Cricetulus griseus: one gene and its partner. The protein of the gene in region 2 interacts with the protein of the main gene of each other region in a pairwise test. Links are inferred from orthologs where the notes say so. Each region holds a gene or a part of one and is shown on either strand. Other genes may lie near its edges. The genes, in order: Abhd5 and Plin1.

Region 1 (16,015 bases), on a different chromosome or scaffold from region 2:
GTTCCCTCTGCCCCTGCTTTGCTCATTACTCATAATGTTCTACAATACAAAAGCTCCCTCCCAAGGAAAGTGGTTGGCTTCATCTTACTATTAGGGGAGAATCAGAAAAAGTAGGAGCTCTGATTTATTCATGGCTTTAACTAACAATGGTCAACATCAGTATGCACAGATGGTCCCCTATGTATGACTTAGGACCATAAAGGAGCAATGGGTGCTCAGTTAAAATCATATTTTGAATTTTGATGGTTTCCTGGGCTGACGTGCGGAACCAGACTCTTGTGATGACAGGAAGTGACAGTGACCCTCTTGACCAGACATCTGCCAGGGCTCTATAGCATACTATGCTACCACTGCCCCCATGGTGTCAGGTCAGTACTCTGAGCTGTTGATGGCTTTAATGGGATACAGCACTGTCCTATCCCAAGTGGAGGAAGCAGGTGCTCTTCTTCTGTTCAGTTATCAACTCTGTTCTTTCCCAGGACATGAATACTCACCAAAAGGCCCTGCAATCCTGAGGCCAGCCAAAGGGTTAAAGGGAGTCAAAGCTGCTCCCAGGGCTCTGATCCAAACTGGAATTGGTCTTTCTTGATCAGCCAGATCGGGTCGCTCAGGGAAACCCCATGGCTCTACTAAAATGAGGTGACTAACCCTGTTGAGGGCAAAAAACAAACAAAACAGACTTAAGTTCATTTGGTAAATTCACCCTTTAACTGTAAAGTGCTAACTGAACAAGCTCAAGGTGGACTGAACCCCTTAAATGGAAGACTAGTGTTTTTTGTTTGTTTGTTTGTTTTCTTTTGGGTTTTTTGAGACAGGGTTTCTCTGTGGCTTTGGAGGCTGCCCTAACTAGCTCTTTTAAACCAGGCTGGTCACGAACTCACAGAGATCCGCCTGCCTTTGCCTCCCAAGTGCTGGGACTAATGGCATGTGCCACCACTGCCCGGCGGAAGACTAGTTGTTAACCAGGCTATATCTTGCTTTTGCTGTCAACTTTTACGACTGGAAAGAGTTGAGGGGTTTATGCTAAAGAGAAGGCTTTGCTTTTATGTATACTTGGGTGGCAAAAGGCACACCAAAGGAGAAGATATGACTGTGATCCTAAAAAGCAAAGAGAGAGGAGAGGGCAAAGTGAGGGAGAGGAAGGGCCCTCTGCAGGACACCTGTCACTGACCACTGTGAAGAGCACAGTGGATCTGTGCATCTCCAGGCCAACACTACACTCATGGGATGGTTAATCTCTTGTAGGCAAGTTAGGATTTCCCCCACAAACATGACAATAATGTAACACGGGCTAACAAAATACATTTTATTTTGGGACGTGGTGAAATGAACAAGTCTATCTACTCCACTCATGACATCATGATATACTAGCCATAATTCTCTTCCTAATTCATTCCCAAACAACTTCTTTACTAGCCAACGTTTTCATTTCAATTTCATACAAAGTAGATTCATTCCCCCATTAACAGATGTAATTCCTGACTTAGGAAACCCATCCTGATAAAGAAAAAACAGAACTGTGCATTGCTGCCATGTGACAGGTGTAATTTCTTCTAGTCATCATAAAGATTGTAACTGAAGCACACCCACCACAAGAGCATTTCCAGCTGTAACCATGGCAGTCACCCAATGCCAGGTAACCCCAGAATGAGACGACATGTCTCTGACAGCCTTCCCAGGCATACCTGAAGCAGTGGCAAAGCAACTGAAACTGTTCACAGGGTTTTATTCCTAACATAAAAATCTGCTTTATTATTTTTGTCAGCACATAAAGAGATGAATAGCAATTCTTACTTGGCATTTTTTCCAAACAGAAAGCTTTAGGACTGAGCACAGGAGAAAATCTTCTAACCTCTCATCACAGCGGGAAGGAAGCTGAGGCACACAGTGGGCATGCTCCAGCGTGCAGCAGCGGTTGTCAATGCAGAATAGGGCTGAGCCTCATTTCCCACTCTAGTGCACTCACAGAGGACAACTGCTCACCAGGCAGGCTTCCATTCCTCAAGTATCCACAGCAACAGAACATAAGTTTTAGTTTACCTCAGCCATTTCAAACTGGCTTCTAAGCTGTATAGCCCTGAGACCCTTTGTGGGACAGAACTATGGATTTGGAGAGGGTTGTGTGGCACATGACAGTTGTGCATACTTAGTGTGTTTTCAAACTAAAAGTTTTAAAAATGTTTTTAATAGTGTACGAGAAAAATATTGGAAATTTTCTTTCTGAAAATAAAATGGCACAGTCCTTTAAATTTAGATAGTGGGAGTGACATGCCAGCACGAGAATTAATGGAGTGGCCACCTTCCTGAAAACAGCAAACATAATGGAAGGAAACAGCTAGCAATATTCACTACTGACCTAGCTCCCAAACAAACGAGCTCTTTATTTAAACACCCATTGTGTATGATTGAAGAAAAGTCTCACTTTGCTCTAGGTAAGGGACCGTTGTTTCTGCTTGTCTTGCTTAATATACTTTTCAAAATATCATCCCCTGGAAAGTGTTGGCTGAATACATTTTGCAGGCCGGGCGTTGGTGGCGCACGCCTTTAATCCCAGCACTCGGGAGGCAGAGTCAGGCGGATCTCTGTGAGTTTGAGGCCAGCCTGGTCTACAGAACGAGTACTAGGACAGCCTCCAAAGCCACACAGAGAAACCCTGTCTCGAAAAAAAAAAAAAAAAAAAAAAAAAAAAAAAAAAAATTTGTAAAATATATAAACCAGGGTGAAGAACTTGGATTTTTTTGTTTTTGAAAAGTATTAAATTGACCGAGGATTGTTCAAGCCTGTCTTCAGCATGGCAAAAGTGGCAGGTGCTTGGTAAGCATTTGCAAGTCTGGTTTTGGTTCTTAGTAACAACATTCAAATGTTCTACAGTGCCATCTTTGTCTAGTTTGGATGTTGTGGTCCCCCAGATGGTACTGGATCATATTGCTGCTTGTTATGATAAAACTTAGAAGTTATTACAGAGGGCCAAAAGCCAATATTATTTTCAAAAAAACATGTATTATTTGGAACTGAAAAATACAACAAGCATGAATATTCATCCCCCTACACACACACACACACACTCTTTACAACACTTACAGAAAACGATGTTTTAAAATAAAGTTTTAAAGCCTCCAACATCAGAAATGTAGTTAGACTGCATCCACTTTAGCTACACGAAAAAGCCCTCACAAAATAATGGCCTTGTTTTTCACTGGAAGCCTTTTCAATACAACAGACCACACAAAAGCATTGCACTTGGTGGCTACCATGGTAAGAATTCTGTGATGGAAGCTATCGCAGCAAAATTTATTCCACTGGAGGGCTTTTAAATTTTTATTTGCTCTCTTTTGAAGACACTGTGTAGCCTGGGCCAGCCTCACGTTTGTAGTGCTCCCCCTGCCTCTCTGCCTCCTGAAAGCTAAGATTACAGACCTCAGCCACTGTCCTAGCCCCACCGACAGGCCTGTCAGCTTAAATATAGGGTAAGGAGTGAGTCATCCTATCAGACGACATCTTCCTCAAGAACTAGAGTGTGATTAAACTACAGGACAAATGAAGAACCAGAAGAGCAGGAATATGACAACAGCCCATCAGTGTCAGGAAAAAAAAAAAAAAAAGGCATTCTTCTTGACGGTAGTCACATAAACAGCTTACACCTTTCAGGGCAAAGCAATGGGTCACAGCTTCACTGGGATGAGACGGTGTTCTGTCTAAATGAGCACATGACTACACACACTTGATTTTTATAGATTCGGTCAGCTGCCAGCGAGAATGATACAGCCAGAACAATCAGTCCCAGAACTGAAATGCACCAGGAAATTTACAGGGCCTCCTTGAAACAAGGAAAGGAGCAAAGAATATGACTACAAAGAATTCCAGTCTACATAAAGGAGCACTCTCAGACTGGAGGGTAGCCTGGGGTATTTCCTGTTGGCACCACACCACTGAGGAGAAAGGACCTGAAACCACCAAAGCACTTCAGTTCCAGGCCAATCGCAATTCTTAAGAGGAGCCAAGAAGATGCTCAGCCCAGGCCTGCATTGTCAGGAAGCAGTCAGGCAAGGGCAGTAGGGACGGGACTCAAGATAGTATTGTCCAAAAGTCTTTGTTAGTGGAGACAAGTTCTAACATGCTGTTATAACCTAGGGTGGGTCTTTTTGCTAGTCCCTTTCTACTTGTTTCTCTTTTGAGACAAGATCCCATTATGTGTTCCAGAGTGGCCTCCAGGTCCCCCCCCCCCCCCGCCTCTGTCCCTTGGGTGCAGGGACTGCAGTTATGTATCATACTACATAGGTTCCATACAACCTTCTAAGCGTGTATCATATCCTTTTTCTTAGTGTGTAGCAAATACCTGCAACACAGACGTTTCTTCACAAAGGAAGGAGCTCTAAAAGCAAAATCTGAACAGTTGAGAGGAAGGGGCAAGCATCTTGGCTACCAACACTGGCTAGCTTCACTCTTGCTAAGGGAAGACAGCTCAAGATTCCTCAAGCAGCAAGTAGCTCTATTTGTGACCCATCATATGAATCTACTAACAAAATTCCAGGGGGCATCTCCACTCATCACACACGAGTTTAAAAAAAGTTGGGATGAACTGAGGTTGCTGCGTGGGAAGGAACGAGGGGCCGTGCCTTCATTGGAGTCCTCTATTAGCTAGCCCGTAACTTCTCTGCCCACTGGCCTTTCCTAAACAGCACCGGTGCCTGCTAGCATGGGCCTTTGAAACATATGCCCATTGACTGTAATAATCCCCTGCCACCCAGTAGTCCTCTTTTAGATCTTAGATCAAGAAATATTTCTTTAGACCATCATTGAAGCAGAGACTAGATCAGGTTCTCACAGCACTGTCCGTGTCCCCCACCATAACACTCATCCCAGGGGCAGAGCCCTGTGTGGGTATTGAAAGCGCCACTCCAGTACACATGCACACATGGCCCAGAGCCTCCTTCCCCCTGTGCACAGCACAACTGGGCATATATATCTACACACCAACAAGGTGTGGTGAACTCTGACGCATTCCTTAGGGAGGGTGTGATGAATAGCATCTGGGGAAATACCGCTGTGACTCCAACCACCAGTTTATAGTGTGCACAGAGCTCAGGTGCTTCTTCCGACATTTTAAAGAAGGGAATTAAAACAAAATGCCCTCCCCAACAAACACAGTCACTGAAGATCAGTCAACAGCCAATCTCCTAGAATACACTATTGGACACTCCATTCATCACCAATGCTTCATGGAAGACCCGAGGAGTCATCACAAGGAGTCAAGGGCACAGCACACAGCTTTTATCAGCCGGCAGGAACACTGCCACAGGAAGGCTGCAAAATGGCTCTGATGGGCAGGGGCACTTGGAAATATGCACCCGTGTCTAATCAATGTTATGAAGTCAAAAGTATGAGTTTAAAAAAAATATGATTAAGTCAGGAATAGTGACACACAACTTCGATCCCAGGAACTGGGAAGCAGAGGCAGGCAGATCTCTGTGAGTTCAAGGCCAGCTTGGTTTAAGCAGCTAATTCCAGGATAGCCAAGACTATTAGAAATCCTAATCTCAAAACCAAACCAAACCCAAATAAAATAAAATAAATCTAGAAAGAGAGAGAGAGGGAGGGAAGGAGGCGGATGGATGGATACAGTTTTGGGGTGTCGTCCAACCCTGTGATAGTAAGAATAGGAATTTAGACACACTCCACTTATGACCACTACTTAGTGGTTTCTGGCTCCCACACCCATAATGCACTGTCTGAAGTGCAGCCGGCACTATGAGGGATCAGCTGTTGCTCTTCTCTCCACAGATGGATTTTCAGCATTTGCCAAGTTCTGCTTCTTCAGAGCGTTTCACTACTGCAAGTGAAAGTTTCTCCAGTTCTCCTAGTCAGTAGCTACCTATAAAGGGTTGAGGGTTTGCAACGTAGAGTTGATGACAGTCCAGCCCATAGCCTCATGTCCTAGCTCCAGAGACGCCATAACACACACAGGGAGTCAAACCCCAAGCAGCTCAGCTGTCTCCACTACGCCTTTCCTCTATCTCTCACAAATATCATTAAGTTTCTGTTGCCGTGAGTAGGATGCAATTAAAAAATGGACTTAAAATGCCCACCAAGAAAAAAAAATGTGACAGGTTTTGTTGATGTTTTAATGAACAGGTCTTCTGGGTGACAGGACTATCTCTGTCAAGCATATAAAGAGTTTTGAATCCACCAGAAAACTTGGGTACAAAGGCTAAAGTTGACACACTGAATCTTTGGAGAAAAGGAACCATGGCAGAGGCAAACACAGTATCCTGTTCCACTGTGCAGACCCCATACCAGCAGCTGTGAAACAGAGTGGCCTTGTGGATGGGGACAGACACTCTGAAAGTGACCATCAGAGTGCTTCACCCACAATTCTCAACGTCCATCACCTCTTTAATTCTAGATTTAAAAAACAGTCCAGTGGAAAAATTCACCAGCAACACAGAAACGCTGACACTCTCCTCTACAAACAAAGCTCAAACGGAGATAAAAACTTTTCCTTTTATTTTCTTTGGACTAAAATGCGACTTCTGATGGAAAACCAGTGTCATAAGAAACAGTGAAAGAAAAACAGTAGAAAGATTCTAAAGCAAAATGGCCACTAATTCAAGGACTGAAAAACAGTGCCTCCTGAGCATGGTGGGTTAAGTCTACAATCCCGAAAGGCTCGAGTTGGAAGCTGGAGGTCAGCATGGGTCCATGGTAAGTTAGCAATCCAAAAGGTCCTGTCTCAAAATGATTATTTAAAGGCTCTGTAATGAAAACATTCAGGGAATGATATAGTCAAAACCCATGAAAGGTACACTATATGAAAAAAACTAAAGTCCAGAGCTCATACAATTTGCTCATTCACAAAGATATAGTCTGCTTCCCTTTATAACTTAACTATAATTTAGCAAAAAGTCTGGAAAAGCCTGCTGGTTCCAAAGTTTTAATTATTATAGTTAAAAAAAGAAAAAAGCAATTACACCATAGTATTTTTATGGGTGGCTTAAAGCTACACCAGGTCAGGCACTGTGGTGCATGTCTTTAATTGTAGCACCAGGGACAAAGAGACAGCTAGATCTCTGTGAATTGGAGGCCATCTTGGTCCACACACCAAGCTCCAGGCCAGTCAGAGCTATACAGTGAGACCTTGTCCCCAAAGAACTTAAGAGATTAGATTTTGTGTCATTATGAATAAAAAATATTGTCCTTTGTCAAGCCTATCAACAAAATCTGATATCATCCTTTAAGCTACAAAGTGGGTTACCAGTTGTGGTTGTCTACCTATTGGGTCTTTTAAGAGAATGTCTCTCGTGTAAGGCTAACAGTCACCACCAAAAACGGGAACCAGGGATCCGCCTGCCTCTGCCTCCCAAGTGATGGGATAAAAGGTGGGCACTAGCCTGTGCCTCCCTGCCAGCTGTATGTAATTCTGCCCCAGCTGCATCAACCTGATCTTATGGTCGAAGGAGTTCCCATAGAATTTAGAGCATTCCATGTACAAAGATATAAAGCTGTCTTCTTTGGTGTTAAATTGAGACTTTCTGGTACGTCTGTGTGATGATTTGATCAGGAATGGCCTCCATTGGCTCATATTTGACTGCTTGGTCATTAGAGAGGCACTACTAGGAGGTGTGGCCTTTTCAGAGTAGGTGTGGGCTTGTTGCACAATCCGTGTTACAAGAGTTGCCATAGGGGGAGGGCCTAGGCCTTGTCCCAAATGACATGACAGATTTTGATGGGAGGGAGAAGGAAATTAGATTGTTTCTAATTTAAATCAAATGTACAAAATCATTTCTATTAAATAAAATGTATAAAATTATTTCCAATTTAAATAAAATTTATGAAGAAAAAAGAACAGGAACTGGAGGCTAACACTTGGACGCAGGCTGTGACCCTCTCCTCTGTCACTGACACTTACCTTGATGGGTATTTCAGTGAGTAAGCAGCGGCCAGGAACCCTCCAAGGTTGTGTCCAAGCAGGATCATTTTGTTCAGCCCGAGGGCACACCTCCACTCCTCAATGGACTCCACAAACTGGTTCTCCACCTCTTCAGCATCGCTGTCAAACCTAGGTCGACTACTTCTTCCAAAGCCCAAGAGGTCAAAGGCATAGACGGGCCTGTCAGTGCTTAGATCTTCAAAATTCAGGGCCCAAAGTCCAAGACCTCCTCCAAAGCCGTGGAGGAGGACGAGTGGTGTCTTACTGGAAATGTCGTGAGAGAACATCAGTGTCCATATTCTGTTTCCATTGGATATGCGGACGGGCTCTTTCTTGTACGTGCAGGGGACACCTGGTGGAGACAGAGAGCACTCCACTCAGTCTCGCTGCTTCCAAGCACTCTCAGGGTAAACTCAGTCATGCTATTTCACCTTTTATTGCATCGACCCCAAAAGAGTCTATACCTGATTAAAGCAAGCAAATCCAACTAACCATGTTTTATAACTACGTGGGAAGACTTACCTTAGGAAAGCCTCGAGTATATGACCTCCCGATTTCTCTCCACTCTATCATATGAGGACATTACATGCCTAGAACTGGAGAAGAGCCTAGTGGCCTTTAACCCTGTTATTTTAAGGTCCCTAGCTTTGCAGACAATAACAAGAATACTACTTTGAATTTGTAGAGCACTTCACAGGTTAGCATTTGAGACTGAAGTCAGACTTGAAAGGACCATGGAAAGTCATCGGGAACTTGGGGAAGGAGTAACTATATCCACTCTAAACACATACCCGGTGAGCGAGATCATTTAAAGCTTAGTAAAAAGCGGTGTGTGTGTGTGTGTGTGTGTGTGTGTGTGTGTGTGTGTGTGTGTGTGTGTGTGTGTGTGTGTGTGTGTGTGTGTGTGAGAGACGGGGCATGGCAAGAACTTCATCATGAGGCAATCCGAGTTCAAGCGATTGCCCAGAAAATAAAAGTACAGTTTTATAGATCAAAACCCTTGTGTTCAAAACTACATAAAACAAAATACTTTAAACCCTCAAGTTGGTCAAAGGTAAAACTAAAGTTGATTGATAATAAACCATCAACTGAATAGCTACACTCCAGGAATGTCCTTAAACACCCGTGCATATACATGTGTGACAGACAAAATATGGACAGTCACATGTTTCTTCCCTTTGTCAAAGAGCTAACTTAGGTTTTGTATTCATGGTGGCAGCAGAGAGAAAGCGGTGTGCATTTAGGGATGTGATGGGTGCCCTGCCTTAACTGGAAAGAAACCCCTCACCTAGAAGAGGAGCTGAGCCAGGCTTTGAAATGAGCCAGAGCCAGATCTCTTCAGTGTTTGAAACGGGCCTGAGAATTCCCATAAAAATTATTTTTAACATTTAGTGAGAGCTCATCCTGATGTTCAGTCACTCACATTCATGTCTGACATCAGAGCAGGCAGTTCTTAGACACACACACACACACACACACACACACACGGAATCTAGAATCTAGCACCACTGGGTGATAGTGGCACACACCTTTAATCCTAGCAGAGGCAGGTGGATCTCTGTGAATTTGAGTTCCAGGACAGCCAGGGTTAGTTACACAAAGAAACCTTGTCTTGGGGGAAAAAAGTTTATTTTGGTAAACCACAATGAAAATTCTGCTAGTTTTTGTGAAGAGCAACATCATTCAAGTATATGGAACAGAAATTCATTGTGTTAAAATCCACATAACAGGGCTAACTACCATTCCTAAGAATGTAACCAGTTATGGTCACTTACTCTGCAATTGCCAAATGAACAAACAAGAAAATCATTGATGGTAAAGAGAGTGAAGAACAGGTGTAGACAGACATCAGTAGAAGCCCTTACTTTACCCACTCCTGTAGATTCTATCATCAGAACAAAATTGTACAATAAATACCAGAGGTCTGGATCAATTTCAGTGCTCATTAAGAAAAAAATTACAGGACTCTGTGACAATACAAACGTGGATGTAACGATGGCACAATCCAAAGGCACCGCCAAGAGCACCCTACCCCTCATTCCAGAGTTAAAGAATGGGAGGCCGAACAGGGTGACTTGCCCAAAGGCTGCCACCACTGCACAGCAGGTCTGGGTCCAGTTGCTAGGTTCAGCCTGGACTGTGTTCCACTAATGAGACCCTGGAACACAAGAATGTGCTCTCAACTATATAGTCTGGCATATCAGGAAGGTCTTCCACAGGTTTTAAGGATATTAAGACTTTTAACAAAGCCTTATTTTCCATTCTTTTAAAAATATTTTTTAATTGTGTGTGTGTGTGTGTGTGTGTGTGCCTGTGTTGTGTGTCTGTGTGTGTACTTGTGTGTGCGCACGCACACGCTCTCTCCGGACAATGCAATATATTAGATCTATTTTAGTAAATAGTTAAGTAACTTTACAAGAGGAAAACCTTACATTTTAACATTTTCTCTTCAGCTTCTTTAAGGTGTGATGTAGACGTAGGGCACCAGGTCGGAAGCCACCCTGTCAGCCATCCTGACCTAGAATACCAAAAGCAAAGTGCACATAGGTGAGGCCATGCTTTTCTTAACTCTCAGCTACAACACCTGAAAAACAAAGCCTCAGAGGAACCCACCGCCTGTGTGTGTGGGGGCAAGTACAGGTGGCACAAGTTAATGGGACAGGCACTGGGCGCCTACCTTACCTTTCAGGATAGTCAGATCCAAGTAACTATAGAGAGGCAAAAAGAAAGGAAAGAAGGAGGGAGAAAGGAAGAGAGGGGCACCATTCCCAAAGTACGGCAGTCTCTGAATGGGCTAGAAGTGCAAAAAAGCTGGTCTACGAGTGAATAGGTTTGCTTCTCCTCAACAGCAGGCTTACAGTGAAAAGAAAACTATTTACAATTCTCATTTAAAAAACTAGAAAAAGGAAAAGCTTCAGATATCAAGAGAAAGTGCAAAGAGCCTATGGCTTGCCCTCAACCTGCCTAGGGCAGCTGGTTAACTGTCGGTGGACAGAGCAACCTTGGCTCCCATACACGGCAAAGAGCAGAATAGCACTGTAGCTGTCTGAACACAGTGGAGCCAAGAGAACAAGGAAAGCGGGTCTGAGGAAACAGGAGCGGGAAGACGGAGAAAGAAAGGCTATACAGCTGACACTAGCTAGGTGGGAGAAACTTCAGCTTCGGGCCTGGCAGCAGACCAAAACCTCACGGCAGTCAGTCATTTGAGGCCCTGAGAGTTTAGCCGCCGTCTAAGCTGGCAAGGACTCTGTGATGGTAGTGAGACACTTCTGATGAAAGATAATGAATCTGAAAAGGGGATCGATTCTAGAAGAAAGCTCAGGGCCTGAACCACAGCACTGGTGAAGGGGACCAAGACATGAAGATCTGGCCAAAGAATGTTTAAAACGGAAACACGCTAAATCTGGTCAATGGTGTGATATAGTCTTGCGGTTTCTCCTCACAGCACCACTATCATGATGGAGAACACACTAAATACAGATAGGGATGCAAATGAAAGACAGAAATGGAGGCCCTGGCTTTGACTCTGTGTCTTAAATAGACTAAAACAATTAGCAAGAGAAACAAAGTGGTGTGAGTGTAGAGAAATTAGGCGAGGATTGGGAAGGGAAGGGGTGATTCAGTCTCTACCTTTTCCTAAACTTCACAGAAGCTCCCTACATTTCCTTTCCCTATAAAATACTTTATAATATAACAGGAACTCAGTAGCCAGTGTTTGAACGATTAGGTCACTTACAATTTAGAGTCATCTTAGTCCAAATTAGGCCCAGTTCACAGATGTGACGCTGACATCAGGGTAGAGGATACGAAGCTAGTAACAAACGTACCCCCAAATCCCTGTTGTCCACAGGAGAGTACCTCCCTCAAACGCCTGAGGAATTGGCTATTGTGCACAGGTGGCCCACACTCCTGGGTCCTGTCCAATCTGCTCCTGCCCAGCTTGGCTTTTGCTTTGTGTCATTTCTCTCAAAACTTCACACTACTGAGTGTTTCTGCGGCCACCCAGCTCTTCCCTTGGTCCTAACCCCTCGCTTTCACAGAAACATCATTCCTGGGGTGCAGAGGCATGGTCCTTGCTACAGATACAGTTCCTGTAGTCAGTGGCTGTTTGTCATCTGCCTACTGCCTGGTGAACACACCAAAAGTCAAATCTACCTCAAAGCTGACCTTAACACCCACTGCTAAACACGCCAGCTGGTGGTCATGTGAGCCCTTGGGAATGGGAACGGGAGGCTGCAGTCAGCAGACTCACATAGGTGTGTGATCAAGAAAGGCAGATGGACTCTCTCTACAGGCAAGAAGCACTCAGCGTACCTCCGGTTCTACAGCAACAAGGTATGTGGGCAGGACAAGGGCCTGAAACTTCAAAACAAAAAATAACTGAAAGTTGACACAAAGAAGAAACTCGGGAAAGAGACATCAGCATGGAACACAAAAGGTGACTGGAGAGAGGGCAGGATAATGACCTAATAGCTACACTCTCTAATACAAGCTTGTCTGTCCCTTTATGTTTACAGTTAACTTCCATCTGGTCTTGGTCTTTAGACAAAATTTCCTGGTAGGTTCAGTAGCTCTGTGTCTGTGTGTCTGTCTATCTGTCTAACAAATAGAATCAAGATAAGAATATTAGCAGATATATCTGGTCAGCTTTTCATAAGCTGTATAGTTAGGCATATAAGGGCCTGCGTTAAAATGCCAGTTTCACACTTGTGCACTGACAAGACAAGACCAGAGGACCCGTGGACACCCCTCACAAGTGCTGCACTGACCAACTGTGGAGGTGTAACCTAAGAAAGTGTTAACTCTAGTCCAATGATGAGTAGGCAGTCTGTCTGCAAACTTCAGTCTTGTTTTTTTTTTTTTTTTTAATTTATTAGCAGTTTGTAAAATTTTCAACAAGGAGGGTAATGCATTTTTGCTTGTTTTAAAACTATTGTTAGGGCTACAGAGATGGCTCAGAGGGTAAGAGCCCTAGCTGCTCTTCCAGAGGTCCTGAGTTCAATTCCCAGCAACCACATGGTGGCTTACAACCATCCGTTATGAGATCTGGTGCCCTCTTCTGGTGTGCAGATATACATGGAAGCAGAATGTTGTATAAATAATAAATAGAATCTTAAAAAAAAAAATGCCAGGTGTTGGTGGCACACGCATTTAATCCCAACACTTGGGAGGCAGAGGCAGGTGGATCTCTGTGAGTTCGAGGCCAGCCTGGTCTACAAGAGCTAGGACGGCTTCCAAAGCCACAGAGAAATCCTGTCTCGAAAAACAAAAAAACAAAAAACAAAACTATTGTTAAACTGAAGGAAGCTCTTTCATCCTCTTTTATGCCCACATCATAAAATTATGAACAGAAGTTACGTATAACTGAATCTCATCAACAAATATCTTTCAGATCATAACACAGTTCTTTGTCAGAGATCAGTACAAAAAATAAATTGAACCATAATCTACTATTGCTCCAAATGACATACACAAGTTGGGACAAAGAAAGCACAAAGGCAATATTTGCTTCAGTCATTAAGAACAAAAAACAAACACACACCAAAAAATTCAGACTGAAAACCTTCGTCCAGGAGTTTAGAATTTTAAAAGTTACGCAGCAGACTATAGTACAGGTGTGGGTCTCCCTGTACTGGCTTGCCACTTCAAACAGCAACTCTTTTCTTTGTGACATGGGTTCTCCGGTAGCCCAAGCTTGTATTGCTAAGCAGCTGAAAATGGTCTTGAATTTTTGATTCACTTGCCTCTACCACCCTGGTGCTAGAATTGGAGGTACAAACCATCTCATCTGGCCCACAAAATAATCTTCAAAGGCTAGAACTATCTATGAATTTTGACTCCTAATGGCTAGTTCAATTTAGTGTTTGTAAGCCTAGTGGGTTACATTAAAAATTAAGGGGCACCAATTCTCATTATATTTTCATAGCTACCTTTTCATCAGCACAAGGCCAATTTTTACAAATGAGCTTTTTCTATAGTATATTTAAAGTGGGGAAAAAAACCCCACATATTTTCATTCCTAATAAAACTATGAAGATAGCATGTTCCCCTAAGCCTAACAGTACCTCTGTCCAGGTTTGCTTTACTCAGATTGCTGGTAAGATTTTTACAGAAGTGGACTTCTACTCTGCACCTGTAAGACAAAGTACCACACACATAGCAGACCCCAAGGGACACCTGCAAAGAGTGAAAAGCCGTGGTCTGTCTGCCTGCCCTTCAGTCTCTTGTTCAGAAGTCCTCATTCTTTTCTTGCTAGCTCTGTTATTCCCTGGCCAATCCACTCGTGTGTCTGCAAAATAACTTAACTGCATCTCCAAAGAGACGGTTCCTTTCTCCTGAGTCTCTGAGGTCACTCAGTTGTCTGGCACTCCCTGGGCTTAGCATGTGGACACTGGATCTAAGGCTGTCCGACTCGGAGCCATTCTTCTGAGGTCACAGATTCAAGGCAAAAATCCTCACAGTCCAGCTGAAGAGCAGTAAATGGAATAGCCATCTCTCCACAGTTTTGTAAAATAGAAATGTATAACCTATTTAAGCAATAATTGATAAGCATTATTATCCACAGCTAAGGCATGATTACAGATGGAAATGTCAACTGCAATACCAAGAAAAGCCATTCACTGCAAAGTTTGTAATTTCCCCAAAGTACACACATACACACCAGGAAGGCTTGCCGGTGTATGCCAAAAGGTTTTTAGCAAAAGCCCTATGACCTGGGCACTGACCATGTCGGTATGGCAGAAGGTACATGCCCTGAAGCATCTAATTTAAAAAAGAAAATAATCAAAAGACTCTTGCTCTAGATTTAAAACCACTGGAGTGGAAACAAACAAACAAAAAAATAGTTAAAGTTTTAGAAGACCACACTAAAAGTGATAACTCTTAGGAAAGCCAAATAGTTGTGATTAACATACTAGAGTATATTTACCAAAAAACCCAGCTGATTTTAAGTACCCTGCATTTCCCCCTGAACTTTCCACCTCATTTTTTTGTAACTATCACTAACAATGTACTTGTACCTCGTGCCATGGACACTTAAGTTCCTGGTAATTCCTGTTTTGTTCTCCAAGCCATCTGACTATCTATAGTGTTACTAAACCTGAATTGCACAATCTATAAATATTGTGAAATGGTGAAAGAGGTTTCAAAGTATCCTGAAGAAAATATACAGAAGCCTGGCCAATTTCCACATACTCTGTTGGCCACTTAACATTTCTAATTAGGTTATAAGTAAAGAGGATTTCATTATGTTACAGTTTTGCTCCATCCCTCTACTGGTATACTCAAGAGGAGAAAGTGTGCTTGCTATTGTTCTCTGCAATCCAAGCACAGAATTATATCTTCAAGGAGCCAGGAAGCTCTGTTTTTCTTTAATAAATAAACACGTTAGAGGTAATATACACATTCCTCTGAAATAATTCCTCAAAGAAGAACTAAAACATTCCACACTGGAATTGCAACACAACCGAAGGCCTCCTTTCTTGGGAATTGGATTTTTAAAAATCCCATTCTTGTGAAAGAGAAAGAGGATACGCCACACACAAGTACAACTTAAGTGATGAACGTAACATTTTTAGATATGTTACTATAATGACTCAGGTTGTCACTGGCCATTGTATCCATGACAGCACACAACCTTCTAATAGACCAACATATAGTTTAGCATCTCTTTAAGGCTGTGTGGTGTGACTCAGGCCTGTAAGGCCAGCCATCAGGAGGATGAAGCACAGAGATTAAGATTTTTGAGACCAGTCTAGTCTATACAGAAATACACTGTCTTATAAAACCTAGAGTTTAATACCCGCAAGCACACCCACACACGCAAAACCTTTCTATGGCATTCCCTCACACAGTAAAACAACTGCTCAGGAGAAGAGTCAGACACATCTGAAGCAGTTACATGTGAACATTCATGCTCACTGTTCAACAAGTCAGAGAAATGTTTAAGTCAATTATAAAATAACCTTAGCCATTAGACAATGAAGGTCTCAAATCTAATAATTATTTTTAATAAAATTATCTTTACACTTTTTTATAACTTACAATTGGGGGTGCATTAAGCTTAACTAAAAATTTAACAAGTAGTCA
Region 2 (16,015 bases):
AGAGGTCATCCCAGGGCTCTCCTGGGTACAGCGTGGTCCATGAAGACACCGACTGGCTCCAGTCCTTTCTCCGACTCCTATTCCACTCTCTGAGGCAGCATCCTCCTTTGCTCCTAGACACAGTGAAGAACTTCTGTGACATCCTCATCCCTTTGAACCAGCTCGGGATCTACAAGTCCAATCTTGGTGTCGTAGGACTTGGAGGTCTTGTGTCCTCCGTGGCGGGTCTCATCACTGTAATGTATCCTCAGTTGAAACTGAAGACCCGCTAGGTTTTGGGGGCCTAATAGGTAACAGCTTAGTTGGAACAAAATTCTATTTTTGTCACAGGGTTTTACTGTGCTTAATTGTTTAATCATGTGAGCATCTTATCAACCCATAATGTGAGAGCAGGACCAACACTGGAGTGTGCAGACTGATACATTTTTTTAAATCCTGCAGTAACTTCTGAATTTCTGAATATTTTCCCTTCAGCTAACATTGCTAAGTATTTTTATATACACAGCAAGAGCTTAAGGTTTGCTGAATGAATAAAAATGGAAAGGAAAGAAATCATGAAAGACCCACAGACACTAGAATCATGGGTTGGGTTGTTTGGGTCCCTCATTTCACATAGTACATCAGAGCTGGAGCACGGCACTCCTGGCTCTGGTTAAAGCCTCCCTTTCCTCCCATCAGTTACTATGCCCCATCCCCACAGACGTCAGTGTGGGATGGAAGGGAGCTGGCTTCCAGCCGCTTAACCCATTGGCTCTGGCCATTGCTGCAGTGGGTCCTTATGTACAGAGGTAGGTTCAGGAAAACCTCAGGACCTCCGTGCTGTGGGTTGTCTGGGTGGAAGCCTCTGGACATGATGTGAGTCAGCAAGGGTGCAGTGGGGGGGACGGAGGTGAAAGTGGGTAGAAGGTCACAGTGTGAGACAAATAAGGAAATTGACACCAACAAACAAAACTGAACTCAGAGGTTCGTTCTGATTCTTTTCAAGATGAGTCCTCTGTACCATCTCATGACACAGTTCCAGCAGCATTTCCAGGCTCAAGAGTCCTTTGCCTTTTGCTCCTTTGCACTCCCCCACACCAGGCCTGGAACTTTGATGGTTTCTCTTCTAGTCTATAAAAATCAAAACAAGTAGGCTTTCCCGGATTGATTTTATTTACAGCTACATAACACTTTTGGCAATTCCACAACAGTTTTCGTCAAAATAAGAGAATTAAAATTTTCCTGTGTGTGAATGTAAGAATGTCAGTTTTCTGTGATAAATCAGGTTTACTAGGGACAGCTGTGGCAATAGGGCAGTGGGGATACTGAGTCAGTGCAGTTTGCCTGTGCTTGCTCTTCCCATTTCAGTTCCTATTTGAGGTGTGTGGCCTGGGGAAAAGGGATGCCTGCAGGTGGGCCAGCATCACACCTACAAAGCCATGTACATCATCTAAGTGGAAACGAGAGATATGCACTCAATAGCTGCTTCCCATAAGTGTGAGGAAGATTCTTGAAAAGCAGACTCGGGTCCTTGGCACTCTATTTTTAAAGTGTGTGATTTGGGAAAACTTTGGGGGGTATTCTGGTAGAAACTAAATTGGCTAAAACAAGACAAATATGTTTAAATAACTTTGTACTGTAACATGTCAGTATGTCTAATACATTTCTAAACAAAATTGGCTCACGAATCTGTGAATATGTCTGGGATTGGAGAGAGTTTAGAGGAAGGCAGTGAGCAGGAAGCTCAGGACTGGCAAGGTGCAGGCTGGGAGGAAGGCATGGGGACTATGTCAAAGTTCCTGTTTGAAAAGTTCCCTTACACATCTGTCCAAACCACCCCTGCCAAGGTAGTAGCCTAGCAATAGCTGGCTAGCTTCTCAGAGAAGCTGCCTAGAGTTCATGGGCAGTGTTTTGCAGATAGCTATTTTGGTCTTTGGGTCTTACACATTAGAGGGGGTGGTTGGAGGGTTGGAAACTGCCATTTTCTAGAGTCTGTAAACTCAGTGTGGCCCTGCTACCTCATCCTTGTATCTTTCTCCTTCTCTGCTAACCCTCTCCTCCTGGGTCCACATTCATGAGGGATTTATGAAACTACAAAGCCCCAAGGAGCTGCACAGTCACAGTTGAACACTGCTGCTGAGGGCTTAGTCAGCAAGTGTTTGAGTGCCCTGTTTGGCTTGGGGACCCACCTGTGCACAGAATGGCCAAGATCCCTGCTCTCCTGTAGTGGAGGGAATGAAGCAGCATGAGATAGCTTGGAGAACTGCCTCTTACCCTTGCCCCCTTAGTATTTGCCTGGCTCTTTTCTTTCTCACCTCTCACCCACATTCTAGAATCCCAGTGGAAGCAGCCAGAGGACCAGCTTTGTCAGCAGAGTTTTAGGCACAGAGCCCTATAGCCCCTCTGGCCCAAAGCCACCGCCTGAGAAGGCAGGCTGCCCTTTAGCCTGGGTTGTGTCCAGATGGGAGCCTTCCAGATCATTTGTCCTGGACCTTGAAGTGAGAGCAGAGTCCACTTTACATACTTCCCTCCTTCTCCAGAGCTGCCGTATAGCTTAAAAGCTCAGACCAAGATTAATAAGTAGCAAATGCTTCACTTATTTATTACTTCTTTTGGAAGTTCCATGCTCCACATTCCTCCCTTTCCTGACATCTTATTCCCTGTCTTATTTATTATTATTTATATGAAGGTTAAACAGGGACCTATCTGAATCTGTTTCTTTTTTTATTTTATTTATTATGCATACAACATTCTGCTTCCATGTATATCTGCACACCAGAAGAGGGCACCAGATCTCATAATGGATGGTTGTGAGTCACTATATGGTTGCTGGGAATTGAACTCAGGACCTGTGGAAGAGCAGTCAGTGCTCTTAACCTCTGAGCCATCTCTCCAACCCCTGAATCTGTTTCTTACATCCTTATTTTCTATTACATTTATTTATGTAGTGTGCTTGTGTGTGTGTGTGTGTGTGTGTGTGTGTGTGTGTGTGTGCGCTCGCGCGCGTGTGTGTGGTGTGTGTGTGTGTGTGTGAATGCGTGCACATAGGTCAGAGGACATTTTGCCAGAATCAGTTCTCTATCATATAGGTCCCAGGGATTGAACTCAGGTGGTCAGGCTTGGTGGCAATCCCCTTAACCTGCTGAGCCATTTTGCTGAACCTACTGCCCAGTGCCTTTCTTTTCTCTTATCCACACTAACAACTTAGCAGAATCAAAACATAAAGATCTGCTGCCAGCTAATATTTAGTGTTGTCCTCTCATCCATTTTGACTGAGGCCTTTCTAGATGGTCTAAAGCTACTGGTTGGGCCCATAGTGTTCTGTCCTCTTTAATCAGGCACTAAAGTTTGAGCCTGGGCTTGAGTCCCTGTTGAGGAATGAATGGCACGTGCTGATAGTTCTTGTCTGTCTGGGTACTATTGGCTGCCAACAAAACAAAGCTCATCAGCACCATCACTTCTCCCGACTCAGGTGAACAAATCCCAGTGATTCTCCTCCTTCCTGTTCTGGTAGTATCTTAGGCTATGCCCTCAGTCCCTGACTTTTTGAGGCAAGCGCTTGCTATGTCGGTGAGGGGGCCCTCCAATTATCAATCCTGCCTCAGCATCCTGAGTGCTAGGATTACTGGCACTTGCTACCACAACCAGCTTCAAAATATTTTCTTAAACTTTCAAGATTTACAAAGGTTAAAACTATTCTCTCAGAGCCCAGATTATTAATAGCTCAACTCTCAACTCTATTTTGTCTTTGCAAGTAATTTATCTTGATAGTCATCGACTAATACAGTAAGCTGAACCCATCCCTGTGTGGGTTTGAATCATGCTGTTCACTAGTCATCCTTGCTAGCAAATAACAAAGGATAGGAGAAACTATATGGGAGTATTGTCCATAGAAACTTTTGGGGAAAGGGACCAAAGATTACAGAATTACATGGAACTTTGAACTTAGGAGTTTAATGACACAAGTACTATTGCCTTTTTTACGGAAAGCAATTTTTGTCATTAAAAGCCAGAAATATTCAGGAACTATTGTCTCGGGGCTCTAGCACAGGACTCCTTCAGCTCTGTGAGCCTTCTCATCATTGGCCTAACAGTCCCCACAGAAGCTAGGATGAGCCCAGGGGACATCCTGGGTCAGGCAGCTATGGTAATGGGCCACCCATCTTTCTCTTCCTCTTTGCCCTCCTCCTGCTGGGAGGTCTGAGAGGCATTGCCCAACATTCTCTGGAGTGGCTGGAGGATTTCTGTGGAGAAGTCTTCTGCAGTTGGGTTTTCTGAGACCGAGGTGGCTGTCAGCTGCAGTGAGTGTGGGGTCCCGGGTGTCTGCTTTACCTGAGTGTTTAGAGGGAAGGAGCTGAGAGGAAGAGCAGATGGGGAACTTACTGAGGGATGCAGAGCTCTGCAGAGAGACCATTGAGGAAAAGACACAGGTTGAAAGACCAGGGCACAGAGTGGCCATTGGCTTATCCAGAAGACAGTTCTTTTAGGAGAAGGCTTACCTAGTTGGCAGTAGAGGGAAATAGTAATTAACTAGAATTTTGTCATGAAGAAAAGTAAACGCTACCCGACGCTCATTCTTTAGTCTCTTTGGGACTCTGATTTAAGAGCCCCAGACTTCATCCTAAACCTTTTCTCTCATTATCTCGTCAACCTAACTTATCTACATTTTCTTTTGTCTTGAGCCTTTAAAAAAAAGCATCAATTTTGAGCAGACTATGGAGTTCACTTTGAGCAGACCAGGAGACTCAGTGTGTTGGGACTCCAAGGAGTGGCCTCTCTATGTGACATTCACTCCCAACCTAGGGCAGCTGAGCTCTCAGTGACTGTGGGTGGCTGTGAGAGGTAGGGAGCCACCCTGTGGTTTGCAAGTCTGTGGGCTTCTGATGGACCTGGGACTCTGCTTTGCAGCCTGAAGAGGAAGGATGGCAATGAACAAGGGCCCAACTTTGCTGGATGGAGACCTCCCTGTAAGTAACCTGGGCTCATGTGAGATGGGGAATGGGCCACCAAGGGAGAAGGGAGTGAGCAGAGAGGGGAGCCAGGGGACCTAAGCAAGATGTGTCTACCTACGTTCCGAATTCACTGTCCCACTATTCCTGCCCTTGCCACCATTAACAGAGGTGTTTGGGGAACTGGGAAAAAGAGAAGATGCCTGTGATGGTCTGGTCTAAGAGCCTTGGAGAAAAGGATAGGAGTGCCAGCTGGGGGCTAAGGAGAGACAGGGAAAGAAATCGCCATGTCCTAAACCCCAAGACAACAGTCCACCACCCAGATGAGCATGTCTGCCATTGGGTGCCCATGCATAGTCTGTGACTCTGCAATGCACTACCTGTGCCACCGTGTGCGAGAATACACTGGACTTCAATGTGTCCAGCATTTATCTCTGGCCTGGATCTCACCATGATTTTAAGTAATTCTGATACTTTTATTAAAATGTCCTTGATTTGCTTTGCCAAGACCTCTCTGATTTGGGTACAGTTCAGATGTTAGTAAAATTCAGAGGTATGAGCCTGTAGGAGACTAAATTCATCCAAAACTAGGCTTTGATGAACCTCTGTACTAGGGATCACTGCCTTTTTTGTACTAAATCGTAAGAGATGTGTAAATGGGTCACAAAAAATGTTAGGTCTTCTTATCGGTTAATGGTTTTTTCCATTCCCAGCCCCTTTCTCCTTTAGCTTTGTTCAAAACCCTTGAAAGCACTGCGCAAAGCGTTAAAGAAGGTGTTTCCGCATGTAGTCTAAATCCCTTTCTCCTCTAATAACTGACTTACCAGAAGGACAAAAAGCTAAAATAACATGGCTGTTTGGTCCCCTGGCCCACACAGGTCTCCTTGATGGCATGTCACAGGGTGCATCTAAAGTCATACAGAGCTGGAGCTGATGGGTTAACCTTGAAGAGTGGCTCATACTACTTTTTCTATGGACAGTTCTTAACAAGACTAGGCAAATACATACAAGTTCCCAGGATTGTTGACAAATTCCAAAGGCCATGAACCCATGACCAATCTGCCACATCCTCTCCCAATCATTAATTTATTTGGAAGTACATTCCATATATTCCATTTCAAACCTGACTTGGAAGCAGTCCAATATAAGTGACACATGTTTATAATCTCAGAACTTGGGAGGTAGAGGCAGGAGAATCAGATGCTGAAGGCCAGTCCAGCCTTGGTTACATAATGAGTTTAAGGCCAGTCTGGACTAAATGAGACCCTATCCCTTTTTCATTGTTTTTGGTTTGCTTTGGCTTGGTTTGGTTTTTTGAGACAGGGATTCTCTGTGTAACAATTCTGGCTGTCCTGGAACTCTCTTTTAGACCAGGTTGGCCTTGAACTCACAAAGATCTGCCTGCCTCTGCCTCTGGACTGCAGGGATTAAAGTGCTGGGTGTCACCACACCCAGCAAGACCCTTTCTCAAAAACACAAAAAAATCAAATCAAACCTGACTGAAGTCCTGCCTCTGCTACTTACTATCTGTGTGATCTTGGGAAAGTTATCTCCGAATCTCAAATATTTCTAACAGCAAACTACAGTTAGGATTGAGATCAAGGCACCCTGGAACCCTACAGCATAATGGTCTCTAGTAAATGTTGCTTCCTACTAGGAGACCAGATCCATTCTTTCACTGGAAGATTGGGCTCTTTCTACTAGCTAAAGTGTAATTATGTAAATGCTGACAAAGCAAAATGCTTTGGTAAGAGATGACTCCACTACACACAAAGGCTCAGATTCACTGGAGTACCAACTTAAAAATGGAGTGTTATAGCCCGGCAGTGGTGGCGCACACCTTTAATTCCAGCACTCAGGAGGCAGAGGCAGGTGGATCTCAGTGAGTTCAAGACCAGCCTGGTCTACAAGAGCTAGTTCCAGGACAGCTTCCAAAGCCACAGAGAAACCTGTCTCGGAAAAAAAAAAAAATCAAACAAACAAAAAATGGAGTCGTATATCTTAAGAAAGGCCATGCCAAATCATAAAGTGTCAGGAGGAAAGGGTCACAAGCCCATTGTGTGATCCACTTATAAACTAAGATAGGAAATGTAGCTATTGCCTATAGTGAAGGGACTTTTGCAGGGAGTCACACCTAACTTGAAGTATGTGATGGGCTGACACACAAAAGGTGAAGTAGATTTGTCCAGGGTTGTTCCTGTGGGGCAGGGTGTGGAGGCAGACTTGAGCTCAGCAGTCATCCAACTAGGGAGCCAGCCACTCTGTGGAGGCATCAAGCCCACCCAAGGAGATTTCCAAATACAAGTCTAGTGAGACTTTCTGGAAAGGAGTCTTGCTGAGGAACCTCAGGAGGCCCAAATCCTGCTATTCTGTGTAGTTAAGAAGAGCCTGTGGGCGGTGGTGGCACACACCTTTCGTCCCAGTACTGGGGACGCAGAGGCAGGCGGATCTCTGTGAGTTCTAGAGCAGCCTGATCTACAAAGCAAGTTACAGGACAGCCAGAGCTACACAGTAAAACCCTGTCTCAAAACAAACAAACAAACAAACATACACAGAACAAGAAAAAAGAAAGGAAAAAAACGTAAATAAAGAAGATCCTAAACATATTCTACAAGGCACAGCTCCATGTATGGCTCATTTCTCCAGAGTTAGGCTTTCAGACAGGCACTGGGGAACTAGAGGACATTCTCCTGGGAGAAAGGAGGCAGACACACATAATCATACAGGGTGACAGATGTAGAGATAGCCCAAGGACAGACACAGCCATGATGGAAGAGAATCAAAAGTTGGTCATGGTGACACATGTTTATAATCCCAGCATTTGGGAGGAGGAGTCAGTAGGATCAGTAGTTCAATGTCATCCTTAGCTAAGTAGTGAGTTCAATGTCATCCTTAGCTAAGTAGCGAGTTCAAGGCCATCCATGGCTAGTTGAGACCCTGTCTCACCAAGGAGGTGATAGTGAGAGAATAATATTCTACCCAGTAGAAAGGGATGTTCGAGGGAAGGCAAGCCTATTTGGCAGTGGTCCAGCATTTATAGACATGGGCGAAACATCTCAGAAAGACCATTAAAATGTTTAGATGAAGCTACCAGTTGAAGGTGGACTAACAGATACATTAACTTTATCAGTCTAAGAGGCATGATCTGGGAGGGAGATGGGATTTGGCTTGTACAGATCACCTCAGGAGTTCTCCAGAATCTAGGTAGTGACCAGGAATGCCTGGCAGACAGATTCAGTTTCCCTGTGGGCTCCTTCATGGTCTTATGACTGGGCCATTTATAGACACCCTGTTTCCCTTACACTTGGGCTGGCCTCACCAACGTCATGCAAGACCCAGGCTAGTGTCAGCTTGCAGGGAGGTTGAGCAGGGAGTGGGGTATAACTTTTTTCTTTGCCCACAGGAGCAGGAGAATGTGCTCCATAGAGTCCTGCAGCTGCCTGTGGTGAGCGGCACCTGTGAGTGCTTCCAGAAGACCTACAACAGCACCAAGGAAGCCCACCCCCTGGTGGCGTCTGTGTGCAATGCCTATGAGAAGGGTGTACAGGGCGCCAGCAATCTGGCTGCCTGGAGCATGGAGCCGGTGGTCCGCAGGCTGTCCACCCAGTGTGAGTTCTCATAGAACCTGGCAATGGCCTGCCTGCCCACTGATAGTCATTCCATGTCTATCTGTCTGTCTGCTTGCCAGTCTATCTGATCATCTCACAACTTGTTTGTCCACCTCCCTTGCCTGCCTATATTCAATTTCCTGGTCTAATCATCTGCAGATATAGAGGCATACATGCAGATCTCTTTGTGTCTATACAGCCTCAGCTGCAGCCCAGCCTAGGACATCCTAGGCTAACAATGACACCCAAAGAATTTTCAGGGGGATAGATGGGCAAATCTATGTGAGCAATGGTGAGTGGAGCCAGCGGCAGGACATCTCGAGTCACGCGGGCTCCAAATACAGCAGAAAGAGCAGTGTCATGAACCGGAAGTCTCAGTGAAAGCAGGGCCTAGCAGTGCAGAAGAGCACCATGGAAAGAAAAGGCCCATTCACCCGGCTGCTGTTACTGGCCTCGGACAGGTGGGGCAGTAGAGAGCTATCAAGCAGGGACCTGGGGGCAGGAACAAGGTTTACCCTGTCTCCATCAGAAAATGTGGTCTCTAAGACTCAGCTCGGCCAGGTTGGTAGTGGGTCATGCCTTTAGTCCCAGAACGCAGGAGGCAGGGGCAGACAGATCTCTGTGAGTTCGAGGCCAGCCTGGTCTACAGAGTGAGTTCCAGGACAGGTTCCAAAGCTACAGAGAAACCCTGTCTGGAAAAAACAAAAAAGACTCAGCTCTTGTCAGAGTTGAGGGAAATCTAAGCAGCGCCGAGAAGTCTAGCATCTTCTATCGTCCTAATAGATTGTGGTTATGTGAGGATTCTACCCAGCAACCAGGCAAGGAAGCCTTAAAGGCTCCATTTCAAATTCATGTTCTCATAGATGGCCCTGGTTAAACTGAGTGGGTCACAAAAAAAAAAAAAAAAATGACAGGAACATGAGAAACAGATATGAGGGTTGGCAACATTGGAAGAGAGACAAGAGAAGATGTGGGGATGTGTATAAAGTTATCCAAGAAAAACTTATTCAACTAATAATAATAATAAAAATACTGAAGGCCCTATGCTAACCCTCATGGGTGCCCTTATTCTGTCCAATCAGAAGACAGCCAAAGTCATCTGGGCTCTTTGTTGTTTCAAAGAAACATGAAAGAGTACCTATAAATACTCTTTAAACCTGTGCCTTCCATGACCTTGGCCACAGAGCCTACATCCTCAGCAGACCACGGGCAGAGTGCCCTAGAAACACCTGCATCCTCTGGGGCATGTCCCACTCCTCAGGGCAGCTGGGTCCTCTTCCCTGTGGCGCCTTTCAGCTGCAGCCATCTTGACAGCTGGCGGTTAAAACTGGTCCTAGGGACAATCTGGAGCTGCTCTGGCCGTGACTGTAACTCCATCATCTCCAAACCAGGCCTGGTGCCCCTGAGGCCAATGGCAAAGCTCTGGTGCCACCTGGCACACTCCCTCATGGATTCTCACTTCCTCACACCCTTCCTGAACACTGAACAGGGAGGTTGGGTGGAGAGAACAGCCTTTGGTGGGGATTCATAGAGCTGCCATCAAGTTTGCCTGTGCATTCACACTTTACAAACACATGGGCTGTCGGCTCTGGCTCCTGACAGGAGGGGGCAGCAGAGAGCTGCTGTCCAGGGCCCTAGAGGTAAAGAATGGGGCACCTGTGCGCCTTTCCTGGTGTTCAGACCGGTGGAACTCGTTAAAGCCACATGCTGAGCAGGTGCAGGTCTTACCGTCTCTAAAACGGCCCTGCTCTCAAGGCGTCATAAGTACCTACCTGGGGGCTAAAGATAGCAATGAGTCTCTGGCTCCAGATGACCTGGTAGCCCAAGGGCTGGGATCTGTGGGTCCCAATGTACTTTCCTTTGAGACGGAGGCCACTGTTATTTTCTCAGGAGGGGGCAAGGATCACCCAACACAGCCTTTCCCTTTCAGTCACAGCTGCCAATGAGTTGGCCTGCAGAGGCCTGGACCACCTGGAGGAAAAGATTCCGGCTCTTCAATACCCTCCAGAAAAGGTGAGTCCTTCCTCTTCCCTAGTGCTCCCTACACTGTTGCGACCTCCTCTCAGGAAGGAGAACAGCTGATGTCCTGGCTGTGTAACTTTCTGTGTTCACGGGGTGAGCGCTTTCTTAGGCAGGTGGAGACCCCCGCTTCCTCTTTCTGTGGGGTCAGGTAAAGTGGTGGTGTCTGGGATAGCAGGCAAATGCCTCAGATAAGCTCAGACAGATACTTTCATGCCCCTCAAGGGGCGGAAGGAAGGGCTAACCCCAGTGTGGACCCTCCATAATTGCACAGCCTTCTGATACTGTGGCCTTGAGATCTGGGACTCTGTGGGTTTTCATAGGACTATGTGATGACAACAGCTACCTAAGATCTTGCATCCCTCTCACTGGGATCTCGGGATTACATACATGGCCTCGAGATCCAACACTTTATGGACCACGAGACTAAACAAGTCACTTCCCTCTGGCCTTATCCAGTGCTGGCTTCAATAAGGCCTATGACCTCATCTCTTTTACTGCCCAACCACCAACCTGTCCTACAAATCTCCCCCACCCTGCCCTTGCCAACAGCTGAAGAATGGGCTTCATGGAGCCCTCCCAGGTCATCCTTGGTGATGGGACTTGCTACACTCATTGTGCAGATGAATAAACACAGCCTGAGGTGGAATACACTCCTCTCTAGTGCTCCAGACCAAGTCAACTTGTATTTGTCACAGAGCAGCTTCCGGGTCTCAGGAGGAAGAAGGCAAATTACTCCATCATAAAACTTGCAAGAGGGCCATTCATATCTATCTATCAGTGTGAACAGTGTGCTGAGGGACAGACAGAGGAGGGAGGGTAGGGCTTTGGAAGAGGGATGCCTTGTGTGAATGAGGGTATCAGGACTATCCTCAAAGGATGGATCTTCACACAGTGTAGAAGCAAGGTGGCCGGCACAGCAAAGATGGCCTTTTCCTTTCCCACATATCCACATATTCTTGCTGGTCCCTGGGTCCATTTTTAATTTTTTAATGTTTAGACAGGATCTCGTACTATAGCCCAGGCTGGTCTGGAGTTCACTATGTAGCCAAAGATAGTACCAAACTCATGGTGATCCCTCTGCTTCAGCTTCCAGTCCTTGTATTACAAGTGTGTGCCGTCATGCCCCCGTGTGCCTGGGTCTTTAAATGGGGCCCTCCAGGGAGCTGGGCTCAGGGCCTGTGAGGAAATCCAACAGCTGACTGTCTCCCCACACTCCTCAGATTGCCTCTGAACTGAAAGGCACCATCTCTACCCGCCTTCGAAGTGCCAGGAACAGCATCAGTGTGCCCATCGCAAGCACTTCGGACAAGGTCCTGGCCAGCTGCGAGCTAGCCTTGGGGATGGCTAAAGAGACAGCAGAATATGCTGCCAACACCCGAGTTGGCCGACTGGCCTCTGGAGGGGCTGATCTGGCTCTGGGAGGCATTGAGAAGGTGGTAGAGTTCCTCCTGCCACCAGCCAAGGAAGAGTCAGGTACCTGCCCACCAGACTAGCTTGCTACCCTGGGATCAGTGGGAGACTACAAGTATTGCTGGCCTTGTGCTGGCATAGGGAATGCCCCTTAGAATCTCCAGAGGATCTCAGTCCTTTAGTCCCTCCATTCCAGGTGTGTGTGTGAGAGAGAGAAGGAACTGGCATTGGCTGTCACTAGTGGGGTCATGGTAGAAGTAAGGCAACTGTTTTCCGGCCCAAGGTACAAGCCTGAGTCCATTTTCTATAGTATTTATTCTTTCAAAATTTTACATGTATGAGTGTTTTGACTGCATGGATGTGTGCACACAGCGTGTGTGACTACTGCCTGCAAGAGCCAGAGGAGGATCTTGGATCCCTTGGAACTGGAGTTACAGATGGTTGTGAGCTATCAAATTGGTGCTGGGAATTGAATTCAAGTCCTCTACAAGAGTGACAAGTGCTCTTAACTGCTGAGCTGTCTCTCCAGGCCCCTCAGTCCCTTTTTGATGTTTTCTTCCATATCTTCTATTCAGCCCCCGCTTCTGGACGGCATCGTGCCCAGAAAACTCCCAAGGCCAAACCCAGCCTCATGAGGAGGGTCAGCACCCTGGCCAACACTCTTTCTCGACATACCATGCAGACCACTGCCTGGGCCCTGAAGCAGGGCCACTCTCTGGCCATGTGGGTCCCGGGTGTGGCACCCCTGGTGAGTGTCTGCTCAGAACTCTGCCTAACCCCTGCTCTGTGGGTTTCCCAGTCCCTCTGTCTTGGGAATATTCTTCAAGCTGGGCTGTGACTTTAGACATAGAGACAGGGGCTTAAGAGGATGGTGGGCTAATTGCCCAGACTGTGGAAGAAGAGAAAGGGCAGTACACAAACCGTGTGGGTGGTCCTGCCCCATCACCCTCTTCTGTCTCCCCCACCCTCCCTTGGAGTCTCCCTGGCTCCCAACATTCATGACTCCAAGTGGGCCTCTTACGTGGGCCTTCCCACCTCCGTTTGCTACTAAAACACTAGAAGTGTCACCCATAAACAAATAAACAAAACAAAAAAATCACAAAAAAAGCACATCCAGTGGGATGAGAATCCCAATAGCCTTTGCCCCAGACTGTGCAGATTTGCAGTCTTTCCTTCTGGGGGCTCCTGTCTCCCCCACCACACCCAGGCCAAGCTGCTTCTCCATTCATCTTGATAAGGTTAGGCTGCAGTTTTTGGAAATACAGAACTTAGTGGGAAACTAAGAGGGGAAAAAAGGAAAGGAAGAAGAAGAAAAAACATTAAAGTCAGGCATATAAACACAGACTAATAATCTCCACACCTGGGAGTCAGAGGCAGGGGGATTTCTTCAAGTTCAAGACCAGCTTTGTCTACAGAGTGAGTTCTAGCATATCCAAGCTATATGGTGAGACCCTATTTCAAAAGACAACAACAGAAGACCCTTAGACAAAGACAGACAGAAAACCAGAGACAAATGAAACAATGAGGACATGGAGGTGTCTGGACTGGGCTGCAGCTGGGTAGTAGAGTGTTTGCTTGCTCTGCTTACTCGAGGCCACACACCTGCAGAACTACAAGAGAAAACCCAGGAGTCAGCAGGAAGTGACTGCTTTTCAGTCATGTGAAATGTCCTTTTACTTTATTTTTTAAACTTTAATTGACTAATTTTTTTTGAGTTAGGGTTTCATCCTGTGGCCCAGGTTAGCCCTTAATTTGTGGCAATCTTTCTGCCTCCACCTTATAAGTGTCGGGATTGCAAGTGTTTCCCATCACACCTGGATGTGAGTGGAAATCTTTTTCAAATTTGATTTTGACTTATTATTACTCTGTGTGTTGTCGTCCTCCCCTTCTGAGATATAGGGGGATGCATGCTATGATGGCATGATGGCCCCTGTGCCAAGGTCAAAAGACAACTCTTAGGGGCTGGGTCACTTAAGAAGCAAGACAGGAGGATCCCTGCAAGTTTAAGGCCAGCCTGATCTACACAGTGAGTTCCCGCCAGCCAGGATTACATAATGAGACCTTGTCTTAAAAAATAAATGTAAATAAAAATAAATGAATAAGCATCCAGGTTGGGGATACAAGCTCAAGCTTTGTAGGGAAGAGCCCCGGATTCCATCTTAACACTAAAAAGAGAATGGCCAGAAAGAATGTGTGGCTGTAAAGTCAGAACATGTGCCACAGACTGGGGAATACAGATTGAAGAGACTTTTTTTTTTTTTTTTTTTTTTTTGAGACAGGGTTTCTCTGTGGCTTTGGAGGCTGTCCTGTAACTCTATAGACTAGGCTGGTCTTGAACTCACAGAGCTCCTCCTGCCTCTGCCTCCCGAGTGTTGGGATTAAAGGCATGCGCCACCAACACCCGGCTGAGACTTACTCTTGGGGTGTTGAAATATTCTCTGTCTCCATCTGCTATAGCTACATAGGGTGTGCTTACAAAAATCGCCAGAGTTCTATGCTAACTATGTATGTTCAATGACAAGCTATTACTAATAAAAATGCTGGGGGAGAGACTAAGTAGGTGATTCAGTGGTTAAGAACACTTGTTGCTGTTGCAGAGGATCCAGGTTCAGACCCGCCCATAACTCCGGTTCAAGGGAATCTGATGCTCTCTTCTGACCTCTGTGGGCACCAGGCACATATGCATACGCATAAAATAAAACAAAGATATATATATATATCTGAAACCCTGTGGGGCCAGCCTCTGCTCACCACCCCTGCCCCTGCTCCTGAGACAAGGACCTTACAGCCTAGAGGGGCCCACTGAGCCAGCTCCCTCTGCCATCCTCCCTCAGAGCAGCCTGGCCCAGTGGGGCGCATCAGCAGCCATGCAGGTGGTGTCCCGGCGACGGAGTGAGGTGCGAGTGCCCTGGCTGCACAACTTAGCAGCCTCCCAGGATGAAAGCCATGATGACCAGACGGACACCACCGAAGGAGAGGAGACAGACGAGGAGGAGGAAGAAGAGGGATCGGAGGTTGAAGAGAGCGTCAGGGAGGTGATGAAGAGAGTGAGAGCCTAAGGCCTCACGGCCCAGGGGTCGGGGAGAGCAGTAGAGGGGCAGGGTAGAATAAAGGACTCTGTCCCCAGGTCACCCCCAATCCACAGCCGACTCAGTATCTCTGTGTCCCTCAGCGGGCTCCACAACACCCACAAAAGTAGGCAGGGCGGCCATTGCTGCTCCATTTTGCAGACAGAGAGACTGGGGTTCAAGAGAGAGGAAGTGACATGCCTTAGGCCTATCCGCAGCTAGGGACAGACCCAGGCCTAGGGTTTTTTTTTTTTTTTAATTTTTTTTATTGTTGTTGCTGTTTTATTTTTTGTTTCTATTTTGTGTCCTTGTTTCCCTCCTGGCTCTGGGCTGGTGGTTAGGAAAAGGGTCAGAGGAACTGATGTAGGGCAGGGGCTAACGGTTCTCTGGCCCACAGGTAACAGCCCTGCCCAACCAGAGAGGCCTCCTAGGTGGCGTGGTACACACCATGCAGAAGACTCTCCGGAACACCATCTCAGCAGTGACCTGGGCACCTGCGGCTGTGCTGGGCACGGTGGGAAGGATCCTGCACCTCACGCCAGCCCAGGCTGTGTCCTCCACCAAAGGGAGGGCCATGTCCCTATCCGATGCCCTGAAGGGTGTTACTGATAACGTGGTAGACACCGTAGTACACTATGTGCCGGTGAGTCCCACCACGGGGACACCTACTCCCAAGGTAGATTTGACTGAAGGAGATGTAGACCCCCCTCCACCGCCTCCCTTCCAGCCCCTGGAGACCCTTCTCCAACTTCTCCAATCTTCAGTACTCAAAACCTTCTTACACACTGATCTTTCCCAGCCCAGAGTCACATGTTCACAGCCCTGGCCTCAGACCTCTTCCCTACTTTGTGCCTCCCATTTGATGATGGAGTCGTTGGTCTGTGAGTCCCTAGAGGCTCAACCCTCTCACTTCAGCTCCCAGAGGAAGGGCCTGGCAATAGGCTTTCAGGGTACCTGGAGCAGTAGGCTGTGCATTCGA

The links.
Region 1: the proteins of Plin1 (region 2) and Abhd5 interact in a protein complementation assay, tested with the Homo sapiens proteins (3 studies listed by BioGRID, with this or other methods). The link is inferred for Cricetulus griseus from reciprocal best matches to the Homo sapiens genes PLIN1 and ABHD5.

What each region holds. Positions count from the first base shown.
Region 1 is NC_048597.1:229,334,827-229,350,841, reverse strand, and holds part of Abhd5 (1-acylglycerol-3-phosphate O-acyltransferase ABHD5), read right to left. Parts: intron 10,446-16,015; coding exon 10,360-10,445; intron 8,280-10,359; coding exon 7,907-8,279; intron 650-7,906; coding exon 495-649; intron 1-494. UniProt on the Homo sapiens protein: Coenzyme A-dependent lysophosphatidic acid acyltransferase that catalyzes the transfer of an acyl group on a lysophosphatidic acid.
Region 2 is NC_048596.1:117,864,883-117,880,897, forward strand, and holds the start of Plin1 (perilipin-1), read left to right. Parts: upstream 1-4,901; coding exon 4,902-4,946; intron 4,947-8,331; coding exon 8,332-8,536; intron 8,537-10,466; coding exon 10,467-10,549; intron 10,550-11,778; coding exon 11,779-12,031; intron 12,032-12,543; coding exon 12,544-12,716; intron 12,717-14,802; coding exon 14,803-15,003; intron 15,004-15,433; coding exon 15,434-15,679; intron 15,680-16,015. Other genes in the region: Pex11a (peroxisomal membrane protein 11A), read left to right, coding at 1-272. UniProt on the Homo sapiens protein: Modulator of adipocyte lipid metabolism. Coats lipid storage droplets to protect them from breakdown by hormone-sensitive lipase (HSL). Its absence may result in leanness. Plays a role in unilocular lipid droplet formation by activating CIDEC.